Xenopus tropicalis: one gene and its partners. The protein of the gene in region 1 interacts with the protein of each later gene in a biochemical or structural test. Links are inferred from orthologs where the notes say so. Each region holds a gene or a part of one and is shown in the gene's direction. Other genes may lie near its edges. The genes, in order: acta1, gc and gsn.

The links.
Region 2: the proteins of acta1 (region 1) and gc are reported together in a solved structure, tested with the Homo sapiens proteins (2 studies listed by BioGRID and IntAct). The link is inferred for Xenopus tropicalis from reciprocal best matches to the Homo sapiens genes ACTA1 and GC.
Region 3: the proteins of acta1 (region 1) and gsn are reported together in a solved structure, tested with the Homo sapiens proteins (3 studies listed by BioGRID and IntAct). The link is inferred for Xenopus tropicalis from reciprocal best matches to the Homo sapiens genes ACTA1 and GSN.

What each region holds. Positions count from the first base shown.
Region 1 is NC_030681.2:57,887,735-57,891,751, forward strand, and holds the end of acta1 (actin, alpha skeletal muscle), read left to right. Parts: intron 1-526; coding exon 527-851; intron 852-1,169; coding exon 1,170-1,331; intron 1,332-2,224; coding exon 2,225-2,416; intron 2,417-2,500; coding exon 2,501-2,682; intron 2,683-3,055; coding exon 3,056-3,199; 3' UTR 3,200-3,459; downstream 3,460-4,017. UniProt on the Homo sapiens protein: Actins are highly conserved proteins that are involved in various types of cell motility and are ubiquitously expressed in all eukaryotic cells.
Region 2 is NC_030677.2:81,069,029-81,073,277, forward strand, and holds the start of gc (group-specific component (vitamin D binding protein) precursor), read left to right. Parts: upstream 1-1,318; 5' UTR 1,319-1,339; coding exon 1,340-1,397; intron 1,398-4,249. UniProt on the Homo sapiens protein: Involved in vitamin D transport and storage, scavenging of extracellular G-actin, enhancement of the chemotactic activity of C5 alpha for neutrophils in inflammation and macrophage activation.
Region 3 is NC_030684.2:9,708,331-9,712,543, reverse strand, and holds the start of gsn (gelsolin), read left to right. Parts: upstream 1-1,320; 5' UTR 1,321-1,410; intron 1,411-4,213. UniProt on the Homo sapiens protein: Calcium-regulated, actin-modulating protein that binds to the plus (or barbed) ends of actin monomers or filaments, preventing monomer exchange (end-blocking or capping).

The sequences.
Region 1 (4,017 bases):
AAGCTGTCTCCAATTTGCCAGAGAAGAAAATTCAATCCCGACTTTGAAATAGCAATCAGACCAGTACCTGGATCAAGACAGCACAAATAGTAATACCAGTAGCCAGGCCTAGACTGACAATCTGAAAATTCTGGCAATGCCAGAGAGGCTGCTGTAACTTCCTTAGATTAGTGCTTTCTATTGGAGTATTGTGTAGATGTTTGTGTCTTTCTGTAAAGTATGGGAACCCTGATCTGGAAACCCTTTATCCATCAAGCTCTGAATTATGGGAAGGCCATCTCCCATAGAGTCCATTTTAATTCAAATGTTTTATAATTATTTCCAGTTCTATTTTCCATCGGTTTAATTATAGTTATTCAATCCAAAAATTTTCTATCAAAAATGTATTCCCCGACACGTATATCTTAGTGCATGTGTGTATGTGTGTGTACATGCACACACATAAGGGCATCTTACAGATTCTGGGATTTGGATATTATTGTTTCTTTGAAATCTTATGTACTGTATTCTTCTCTTTATTCATTAGGGTGTCATGGTTGGTATGGGTCAAAAGGACTCCTATGTAGGTGATGAAGCACAGAGCAAGAGAGGTATTCTTACACTAAAGTATCCAATTGAACATGGTATTATCACTAACTGGGATGATATGGAGAAGATTTGGCATCACACCTTCTACAATGAACTGCGTGTAGCCCCTGAAGAGCATCCCACCCTGCTTACTGAGGCTCCACTGAACCCTAAAGCTAACCGTGAAAAGATGACTCAAATAATGTTTGAGACTTTCAACGTCCCAGCTATGTATGTTGCAATCCAGGCAGTGCTTTCTCTATACGCCTCTGGCCGTACAACTGGTGAGAAGCAAACAGTGATATTAACTGATCTTTTCTTTAAATGCAGATAAGATATTCTTAACCAAGTAAGACTGTAAAAGTTTGACAAGACATTTGCCTCAATATATAAATTTGTCAGCTAATCCTACTAAAGAGATTTTAACTGAAATTATGAATCATTTTAGTTACTAATTTTCACAAAAAAATTAAAAATGCAATCTTTTCAATACTATAATATGTATTTTACATAGTTTTAAGAGCACACATACTAATATTTATGTTGCAAAAAAACATAATGGGCAGACATTGATTATTATCTCTCCTTCTTCATTTCTTTAGGGATTGTGCTCGACTCTGGGGATGGTGTGACACACAATGTACCAATTTATGAAGGGTATGCCTTACCCCATGCCATCATGCGCCTTGATTTGGCTGGCCGTGATCTTACTGACTACTTAATGAAAATTCTGACAGAACGTGGCTACTCTTTTGTCACCACTGGTAATACTAAAATATATGCTTTCATAATAAACACAGTGTTTTTATATCTATGACTTAAGCCAAACCCAGTTTTCACTTTTTGGCCTAGTATATATTTACCATCTGAATCTTTAAAACATTCTAGAAGTGTAACACACAGGTGCAATATTTAAACAATTAATTCCTGCAGTTTATTTACAAGAAAAAAATATAAAAACTGGCAACTTATTAATGTTACCATAAACTGTAAAGGATTCAGCGGCATGCAACTTTTGGCATTGTCTACATCTTATTTAACAATACTATAATTCTTATCTTACCACTACTGCACATTCATGATCAAATCTGCTTGATGATTATGTCCATTATCTTCAATCAGAATTTAAAATACCAAGCAGTCATTCTGATACCTGGCTGTCAAAAAATAGTCCTGACTGAAAAGAAATTTTTTAAAATCCATATTCAGTTCAAAACTGCTGAGAATCCTGAAATTCCCTATTTCCTTCTTTCACAAATCAGACCCAGACAATCTATCAATTTATTTAATTGTTGTGTGTTGTGTATGTGTGTTTGTGTGAACTACATTTATCAAGAGCTTACTTTAAGAAGAGATTGGATGGCTCTTTAGCAAGTGAGAAAATACAGGGTTACCAAAATTATCACTTAGTACAAGTTGATCCAGGGCTTGGTCCAATTGCCATCTTGGAGTCAGGAAGGAATTTTCCCCCTTCTGAGGCAAATTAAAAAGGCTCTTTTTTTGGCTTTCCTCTATCAACTAGTTATTTCATAAAGCCTAAAACAGTAGCACTCAGTGGACATGTGTCTGTTCTCATCCTAAATTATTTTGTACGTTACTATGTAATGAATTCATATGTAAGTGTTTGCTTTATTAAAAAAAAAATTCTAATTTCCAGCTGAACGTGAAATTGTTCGTGACATCAAGGAAAAACTCTGTTATGTGGCTCTGGACTTTGAGAATGAAATGGCCACTGCTGCCTCCTCATCTTCTCTAGAAAAGAGCTATGAACTGCCTGATGGTCAAGTTATAACCATTGGAAATGAACGTTTCCGTTGCCCAGAGACTCTCTTCCAACCATCATTTATTGGTGAGTATATCTGTATATCTTACAACGCAATACCAAATAAATGATTCAAGGTATCTTTAATATCTTTATGTTGCTATCTTTCAGGTATGGAATCTGCTGGTATTCATGAAACAACATACAACAGCATTATGAAGTGCGATATTGACATTAGAAAGGATCTCTATGCTAATAATGTGATGTCTGGAGGTACCACCATGTACCCAGGTATTGCTGACCGTATGCAGAAGGAGATTACAGCCCTGGCTCCCAGCACAATGAAAATCAAGGTAAGTTAGTCATCTTTATTACTGTATAAATAACCCATAAAGCCATACACTTACACAGCCGAAAACTTAAGACACAAACCATCTTATGCACACACCTATATATGAAGAAATCATTTCTTTTCAGTTAGAAATAAAATGTTTCGAAAACCATTATCTTTTACTGATTTTGCTTTTTAACTTTCTCCTTCTAACCTGAAGAAATCTACATAAATAGGTTACACCCACATATTGGTCATAAATACGTCCCTCATCTTTGTGCATATCCAAACTCTATATAGTTGGTTACATTCTGCAAAGCAAGCCACTTGTCTTGTACAGTATTTAAATTCTTAAATTCTGTGCTAATGAGTTGTGTATTTTTTTTTTCAATCAGATCATTGCTCCTCCTGAGCGTAAATATTCTGTCTGGATTGGTGGATCCATTCTGGCTTCCCTTTCAACTTTCCAGCAGATGTGGATTACAAAACAAGAATATGATGAAGCTGGTCCCTCTATTGTCCACCGTAAATGCTTCTAAATAGTTATGTTGATCTTTGCACTAATGACCAGACCTGCATTAATGTTCTTCAATACGGGCTGTTAAAATACCAAGGCACGAATGTAAATTCATCTGTAACACATTCTGTCATTGTTGCCTTATTGTCAGTGTCACTCAAGAAATATATAAAGTGTACATAAACTGTAATTTATTTCAAGATGTTTTATAACTGAAGCACTGATCTAACAGAAGCATCATGAAAATTTCCAACAATAATAAATTTATTATGCCAGTCCCCACTTGAGTCTTCCATTTTCATTTATTTGTGCAAATACTTTGTGTCAACAAAGACTTTAAATTAAAGGAAAGTTAATTTTAGCACATTAATAACATTAGCTGAATGCATAAACTGTGACATTTTCAGCTAAAAGCACAGAACAGAAGTTGTTGTCATTTAAAAATATATGAAATTTTTATGCAGTAAGTAAGTCTTCAGTATTAAGTACTTTAATTGAAAAGTAAACACTGTTATATGCTTTTGGTAGGGATAACAACCTGGGTGCAAATCAGATAAACAATGTAAATATGTAAAAAATGCTGATGCACACCAGGAAAATTTTATCAAAAAAAAGATACTTAGTTTATTTAGATCTAAATAAACTAAGTATCTTTTTTTTGATAAAATTTTCCTGGTGTGCATCAGCATTTTTTACATATATATATATATATGACATTTTTAAACTTACTCCAGAGTATAATGATATCCCCTTTTAGGCAGAACCATTAAAGTGTATTTTTCTATCTGAAATTGAGAAGTTAGCTCACAGTTCAACTCATTGCCCTCATTGTAAAACACA
Region 2 (4,249 bases), on another chromosome or scaffold:
TGATTTGTATTTGACTTGTCTGTATTCTACAATAAGTTTCCTCAAGCTATAATGGTGTATAGTAAACTTACATAGGAGTGTAGGAACCCTTAGGGTTAAAAATCTCCTATGGCTTTAAACCCCTACAAGATTAGTTCCCTTACTTACTTGGCAGAATGAATTGTATCTATTTTAGTTTATTTACATGTGTATGCTATTGGATAGCAGGTGGGGTGGCCACTTAATATAGCTTTGGGACAAAGGTGGCACTTCCTCCTTGGCCTCCACCCATGTAACAGGGTGGATGTTGCTGGGAGCCTGGGATGTAGGACCCAGTAAGGAAAGGTCCCAAGAGTAGTTGGCCATTGGTGAAGTTCAGGATACAGGGACTCCTGGAATAAGGTGTTGTTAATGATAGGTTTTGCTTTATCAGAGTATGTACTAGAAACGTAAGATAGGAAGGGAAGCTAGTAACAACAGCTTGTGCTTCAGCAAGCATTGATAACTGAATGTAGCTCTCCCCTCAGGCAAGACTGCCCTGTAGTGTAGGGACCATAATACAGAACAGGGATTTAGGTTATGTGTTTTCCTTGATCTAGTGTGCGGATCCAGGCCATTGAGAGAGGCCCTGCTGATGTATCTAGAAACCTGACAGGCAGATCTCCAAAAGCGTATTACAAATTTGTGCTCCGTTGATTACTACCCCAAAAGGATATGTGAGTAACCCTGTGTTGTGAATAAACTTTCTTTCTTCTTTGGTTTGCAAGAACCTCTGCCACCCTGTTTGTTCTTATTTTCTATATAGCAGCATGGGAGGTGCAGTCTCCTCTTTAACTTAACGAAGGCCCATTCTGGGTAAGAGAGTCCAGTGTGACCCATGTTCTACAGGTACTAGTCTGGGAAGGGGCAGTTGAGCCAATTATAAAAGTCACAGGAGTAATGGAAGGCTGTAATGCAAGGCTGTTTATTGGCTAAGAATTCTCATAGTAGCTGGAAGGGTGCTTAAGGTATTTTTAAATGTATGTAGTATTATTATTATTATTATTTTAGTTATTATTATTATGGTATATGAAAAACAAAAAACCCAAAAAGTAAAATTAATTATCCATGAACCCATTAACCAATGCTGGGTTAGTTTCCTTTTATTAATGATTGACTGAATGACTGAATTTGCAGAAAGGTTCCCTTTGCATATTTGTATTTTGCTGTCTTTTTTTGTTTATTCTAAATCAAAGGTCAGGGCTGAGCTTGCCTTGCCTAATGCTTAAATTAATGATTTATTACAATAATATATAAATATGTAGAACTATCTGTTGGTGCATTTGTAAGCACATTGTCTGGCAGCACAAATCATTGAAAAATGAGGAGATTAATTGTTCTACTGCTAGCCATATCCATGAATTATGCAGATGAGAGAGGTAATGTACATATGCAATATATAGATATTTACTTATAAATGTATTTATATAGGCTCTGGCTTTTTACTAAAAAGTGTTCAGCTAGACATAGGCTTTGTGAAAAGTCTGTTATTCCATATGTGAATGCAGCTTATAGGTTAGTGTTTGTCTTTTGTGCTTGTTTCTGACATAGTGATAACTGTCTAATGGGTTGTCAGGGCATTATATATCAACTGTTGCTTTAAAACGAAATGCTTGCTTTCTAGGAATAGAGAGAGACAAAAATATAAAGGTGGGCAAATTTGAATTGGGTGGGCAAATTTGAAATCTGCATTGTCCTTACTTATTGAAGTCAATGAGACTAATTCAGGCTGTAAATAATTTCTGGTATCAAACGTTCTATGTAAAATGCTGTTTAAAAAAGCACAGCAATTTGAACATTTTTGGAGAAGCTATAAAGTTGCTAGGTTACACAGAATGTGCAGTGCTACTGGAGCTGCTTTATACATTTGTGTACGGAATTATTTGCCACTTTACTGCACTGTAACTGTTTCCCTTGAACAGTTAGCAGCAAATGTGCAGCCAGCTACTGGGAAATTGTAAATGTAGGGCCAAATTTATTAAAATGTGTATTATGCATACATTGCGTACATTTCTGACAAAGTGCACTGTTTTGCATTAAGCATTGAATGTATTACAAAGCATGAAGTACCCTCAGAGAAGCTGACGTGACAGTTACTCAACCCATCAATCTGCTAGCTAGCTAGTTAATTTAGGCATATGGTGCAAAGAAGTGTATCTGACAGTGTTGCAGCTCTTCTCACTTACACATTTGCCAATGCGCCATGCATGCCTAAATTGACAGATAAAATATCAGTTTGTACAAACCAGCAAAGATCTGAGTAGGATTAACAAACAGTCTAAGAAAACTGCCACTATCCAACCCCCTGAGTGCTCTACATGCCCAGATGATAGGGAAATATGGCCAATAATAGCCATGCAGGGCTATTGGCTAGTTTTATTGACACAAGTTTTTCACCATTTTCTCATTGTATGTTCATCTGCAATGTTTTTTGGGACCTTTATACAGGTATAGGATCCAATATCTGGAAACCTGTTATACAGAAGCTCTGAATTACAGGCCATCTCTCATAGACTCCATTTTAATCAAATCATTTTTTTAAAAATGTATTTCCCTTTTCTACATACATAGTAACATAGTAACATAGTAACATAGTAAGTTGGGTTGAAAAAAGACATACGTCCATCACGTTCACCCATAATGACTATATATATAACCTGCCTAACTACTTTCTCTGTAATAATAAAACAGTACCTTGTACTTGACCCCGGCTAAGCTAACAATTAATCCTTATTGGAGGCAAAACAATCCTATGGGTTTATTTATTGTTTAAATAATGTTTTATTAGACTTCAGGTACGAAGATTCAAGTTATGGAAGGATCTCTTATCTGGAAAATTCCAGGTTCCAAGCATCCTGGATAACAGGTCCCATATCTGTACTAAGGACACATTCAAATGCTTCAGTTTTGCTGCAAAACTGTTGCCTGCTGAGTATGCAGAAATATTACACCTCTGTCCCAAAAGATTCTAAAACTGTATTATGAGTTTTTCTGTGGGGGCCCTTGTTTCAAATCAAATTTGTCTAATTTCATACAACGAAGGAGAAGACCTTATACCATTTGCTATACATTTATATCTATTGTAAACTGTATTTTACCATAGTTTGTGGAATATTGAAGGGACAAAGGATGACTGCTATAATTTATATTTGTTTGGCAGCATGCTGCTCTCTGCAGTAATTTTTACCTTGTATAATATACCTGTAAATTCCAAACCCCTAGCAGTAATTGTCTTTTTTATATTGCATTACAGTGCCTAGCTGTTTTACAATGATTTGTATACTGTGCCAATGAGAGCACAAGATAAGAAAGCAATGTTGATATCAGGCACAAAGACACGATTCTGCTGTGACCCTATTTCTATTCAAGGCAGAGGCACACGAAAGGGATTATCTGCTTTTATCTGCCTGAATTTTTTTTACCTAGGCGGATTGTCCCAGGCGGATTTCTTCATATGCTCCATCTTGTAGCTCCATTCACAGGTATAGCATCAGCCTGCGTGGAGCTACATGGAATGCTGGAATGCAAAAGTATGCATTTTTGCACTAATATCTGCTCCATGTAGCTTCACACAGGGCAATGTCATGCCTGTGAATGGAGCTACAAGAAGGAGCACAAGACAGTGGAATCTTTTGCCAGTCACAATTCTTCTCTTTTCTGGCATCTTCTTACCAAGTCACTGTCTACAGATGGAGTGCACAAAAGAAAATTTGTATTTGGATCAGTTATTATGAACCTACTTATCACAGTCATAGCTGGCACTTAAATAGAAGAAAATGCAGTTTATGCCAAGCACGCCAGGCTCATACTTGCTAAAGCTTAGGAATCTGATGTTACCCTTAAAACCACTTTGTCACCAAACTGTACACCTGCTCTGTGCAGTCAATATAAGTTTTTATCAAAGCATGAACTCCTTCTTTTCTATTATTTATTTTCAATATTGTTCTCAAATGATTCTTTTTAACTCAGAAATAGTTTTAAATTAGAATTAAGGTTGAAAGAGATTCATAGTTTTTACAGTTCTTTTCATAAGTATCAAGGGAAAACAAAAATGTTTTAAGACTCTATCTTTATCTTACGTCTGAAAACCATTATATTCAGAAGGAACTTGCCATTTAGAATACAGTATGTATAATTCAAATTTGATAGATGTCATAACATTCATTTTTATATAGAGCAGAAAGGGATTTTATATTAGTTACATATTAAATGTATCACCTTTGTTAACAAA
Region 3 (4,213 bases), on another chromosome or scaffold:
TTAAATTCCATCCCGCGATGTAACGTATCACCGTTTGGTAGAAACAGTTATTAATTCATTAAAACAGCTGTAACCCATTGCGACCAATCAGCAGTCAGCTCTAAGCAGTCAGGCACAGGAATGCCAGTGAATGCCTGATTCTAATTGGCTGCTACGGCTGCAGGGACGCCAACGCGGCAGAAGTGAAAGACCATTACGTAACAGTGTTTTGGGGTGGGGGAGGGGCTAACTACATTGTTGAGTCACATGCCTTTAAAGCTAATTAGCATTCTCTCACCATTAATACAATTACATTCATTAACTTTAAAGGGGATGTTCACCTTAACCTTTAGTATAATGTGGAGAGTGACATGCTGAAACAATTTGCACTTGGTCTTCCTTTATTATTATATCTGGTTGCTAGGGTCCAAATGACCTTAGCAACAAAGCAGTGATGTGAGGAAAGGACCCGAATAGCAAGAAAAGTAATCAAATATAACCAGGGTCAGACTGGGGGGGAACAGGGCCCACCGGGGCTCCCGCCGGCCGCGTCTCCTAACCCCTCCCCCGGCAGGGGCCCCGCTAACCCCCCACGACATCCTCCCCTTAGCGCGTAAGTTTAACGCGTCAGGGGAGGAGCGGTCGGGCAGGGGGAGCGCCTGCATGGGTCATGTCTGGACCGCCGGGGGGTCAGTGACCCCCATTTGAAATAGTTGGAAGCAAAAGGTATATCATTCAGAAACTATATCAAATAAAAAAATGAAGACCAATTGCAAAGTTGCTACGAACTGGCCACTCGATAACATACTAATTTGAAGGTGAACCTCCCCTTTAACCTTTCGGTTGACTGCTCTACAGTTTCTCAGAGTTCCCTACAGCTGACGCTCGCCATGGAATTCTGGGATTTGTAGTCCTCCCCCCTCCCAGCAGTTTGACACCCCTGCTTTTGTTTTTCCCCACCCACTTGCTTTTGTTTTGCTGCATGCTCAGGTAGGTTGGCTCCCCAGAGGCTAGTGGGCACGTGGATGGTGGCCGGCTAGCAGCAAGAGCGAGCCACAGATGCAAAGGTCCCCTGGCCACCTGGCATGAGTAGCTGCTAGCCATGGGCAACAGGAACGCTGCCGGAGTTTGCTGTGTACCACCGGTGTGTGTGCTTTTCTATTCTCCTTCTACCCTTACCGGGGCATTTGCATGGAAGCTTCACCCTGGGGTATCTGCACTTTTTGCTACTGGCCACTAGGTGGCTAATTAAAGGGATGACACGCTGATGTCTCTGACCAGGTGAGCTCATTAGTTACCTGCTAAATTGCTCACTCACCTGTGAGACATCTAGGGAGCCGGGGAGGCCTGTGTGTCGGGGCCGAGGGATACAAGAACCATTGCTGCAAGCTCACTATCTATAGCCCAGAGTCCAACTGGCCCTCTGCAAAGGTACAAATCCACTCACTGGAGCACTTGTAGGGCAATGAAAGTTTGTTTTTGCCACTTTTTGTTATTGTGAGTTTGTAGAAATCACAATATATATAATTTCTGGGAGTTATAGTTCAGCGATGCAGTTTATGTTTCAGATGTTACAGCTCATATGGATCAGAGAAAGTATATTATATAATATATATAATATTGAGTATATTAAAGGGGTTGTTCACTTTTGAGGTTAACTGTTAGTATGATGTAGAGATTAATATTCTGGGACAATTTGCAATTGGTCTTCATTTTATTATGATTTGTAGTTTTTAAGTTATTTCATTTTTTGTTTAGGAGCTTGCCAGTTTGGAGTTTCAGCAGCTATTTGGTTGCTAGGGTCCAAGTTACCTTAGCAACCAGGAAGTGGTTGGGATGAGAGACTGGTTAATAATAATAATAATAATATTATACATTTATTTATAAAGTGCCAACATATCCCGCAGCGCTGTACAATAAGTGGGTTACATACATTGGACATACAGAGTAACATATAAAGCAACCAATAACCGATACAGGAGGGGAAGAGAGCCCTGCCCAAAAGAGCTTACACTCTACAAGGAGTAACATATAAAGCAATCAGTAACCGATACAGGAGGGGAAGGGAGCCCTGCCCAAAAGAGCTTACACTCTACAAGGAGTAACATATAAAGCAATCAGTAACCGATACAGGAGGTGAAGGGAGCCCTGCCCAAAAGAGCTTACACTCTACAAGGAGTAACATATAAAGCAATCAGTAACCGATACAGGAGGTGAAGGGAGCCCTGCCCAAAAGAGCTTACACTCTACAAGGAGTAACATATAAAGCAATCAGTAACCGATACAGGAGGGGAAGGGAGCCCTGCCCAAAAGAGCTTACACTCTACAAGGAGAAACATATAAAGCAATCAGTAACCGATACAAGAGGGGAAGAGAGCCCTGCCCAAAAGAGCTTACACTCTACAAGGAGTAACATATAAAGCAATCAGTAACCGATACAAGAGGGGAAGAGAGCCCTGCCCAAAAGAGCTTACACTCTACAAGGAGTAACATATAAAGCAATCAGTAACCGATACAGGAGGGGAAGAGAGCCCTGCCCAAAAGAGCTTACACTCTACAAGGAGTAACATATACAGCAATCAATAACTGATACAGGAGGGGAAGGGAGCCCTGCCCAAAAGAGCTTACACTCTACAAGGAGTAACATATAAAGCAATCAGTAACTGATACAGGAGGGGAAGGGAGCCCTGCCCAAAAGAGCTTACACTCTACAAGGAGTAACATATAAAGCAATCAATAACCGATACAGGAGGGGAAGGGAGCCCTGCCCAAAAGAGCTTACACTCTACAAGGAGTAACATATAAAGCAATCAGTAACCGATACAGGAGGGGAAGGGAGCCCTGCCCAAAAGAGCTTACACTCTACAAGGAGTAACATATAAAGCAATCAATAACCGATACAGGAGGGGAAGGGAGCCCTGCCCAAAAGAGCTTACACTCTACATATATGAATAGGAGAGGGGGTTAATAGAAAAGAAAGTTACCAAAAGTAACCATAAAAGTGCAGCCTCGCAGAGCAATAGTATTTTGGCTGCCGGGGTCAGTGACCCCTGTTTAAAAACTGCAAAGAGTTGGGAAAGGAAGGGAAATAATGAATAATAAAAAATAATGAAGACCAGCTGAAAAGATGTTTAGAATTAGCCATTCTATAACATACTTAAAGGTTAACCTCCCCTTTAACTGTGCCAGCATATAGGTGTATTTATAGGTCTATGGGGACTGCCATATTGTTCCCCTTGGGCTCCCGTTGTCCTTACAAGGCAAGACAAGCAGTATGGCAGCTTCTAATATTAGATATAAATACACGTGGAAGTGACTGCTCCATATAAAGGCGGCCATACGCAGGTCGCCAAACAAGCGGATCTTCTGATATGCTCACCTAAGGCAGGCGTTACTGGGCAAATGAGCCGTTGGGCGGAGGACCGCATCGGCTTGTTGATCCGAAGGGAAAATCAAACCTACCTGATTGAGATCTGCCCAATTTTAGACCAGTTATTAGTTGAGTACGCCTATCGGGCCTAAGGATGCTAATCTGCAGCTGAAATCTGCCCGTGTAAGGCCGCGGTAGGTATCTGGCAGTGTATATGTTACTGTGTTGGATGGATTAGGGGCAAGCTGTTTTGCAGCAGGGAAACTTGCCTTGTTCTCTCATTGTATGGCTGTTGTCAGGGTTGGCCTTAGGCCAATTAGACCTATCGGGCGCTATAGGACCCTGCATCAGGGGGAAAAAACATAAAACTGTTTAGCCCGCCCCCAACCATGATTGGCCGATAATGTTGATATGTGTTCTTGGACATTAAACACAAAGTGGGCACATACTGCTACCCCAGGGTACCCACTGTCTGTCACTGTGTATAGTGTGCCGGGGGGGGGGGGCAATAATCCCTGTCTCATTATGCTTGGTGTGTCAGTACCCTAGGGGGCCACATTGTGCCATGAAATGTTGGGGGCCAATGGAGCAAGAGAGGTGAAAGGGGGGTACTCAGTCAGTCAGAGAGCGAGAGGCAGGGACTATTTGCCCCCCCAGCCCTGGACCCTGTGCCAGCCCTGTGCCATTGGATTGTCGTATAGGTAACCAAGTATTTTAATTGCCTGTGATAAGTCCTGTGTTGTTTTTCTCAGGCCGGGGGAACCACTTCTGCTCTTTGTGCCGGGTTTGTCGGCTGTGGTTTTAGAACTGTACCGCGGAACTGCCACATTTTACACCATGTTGTCAAAACTTCCCTACTGCGAC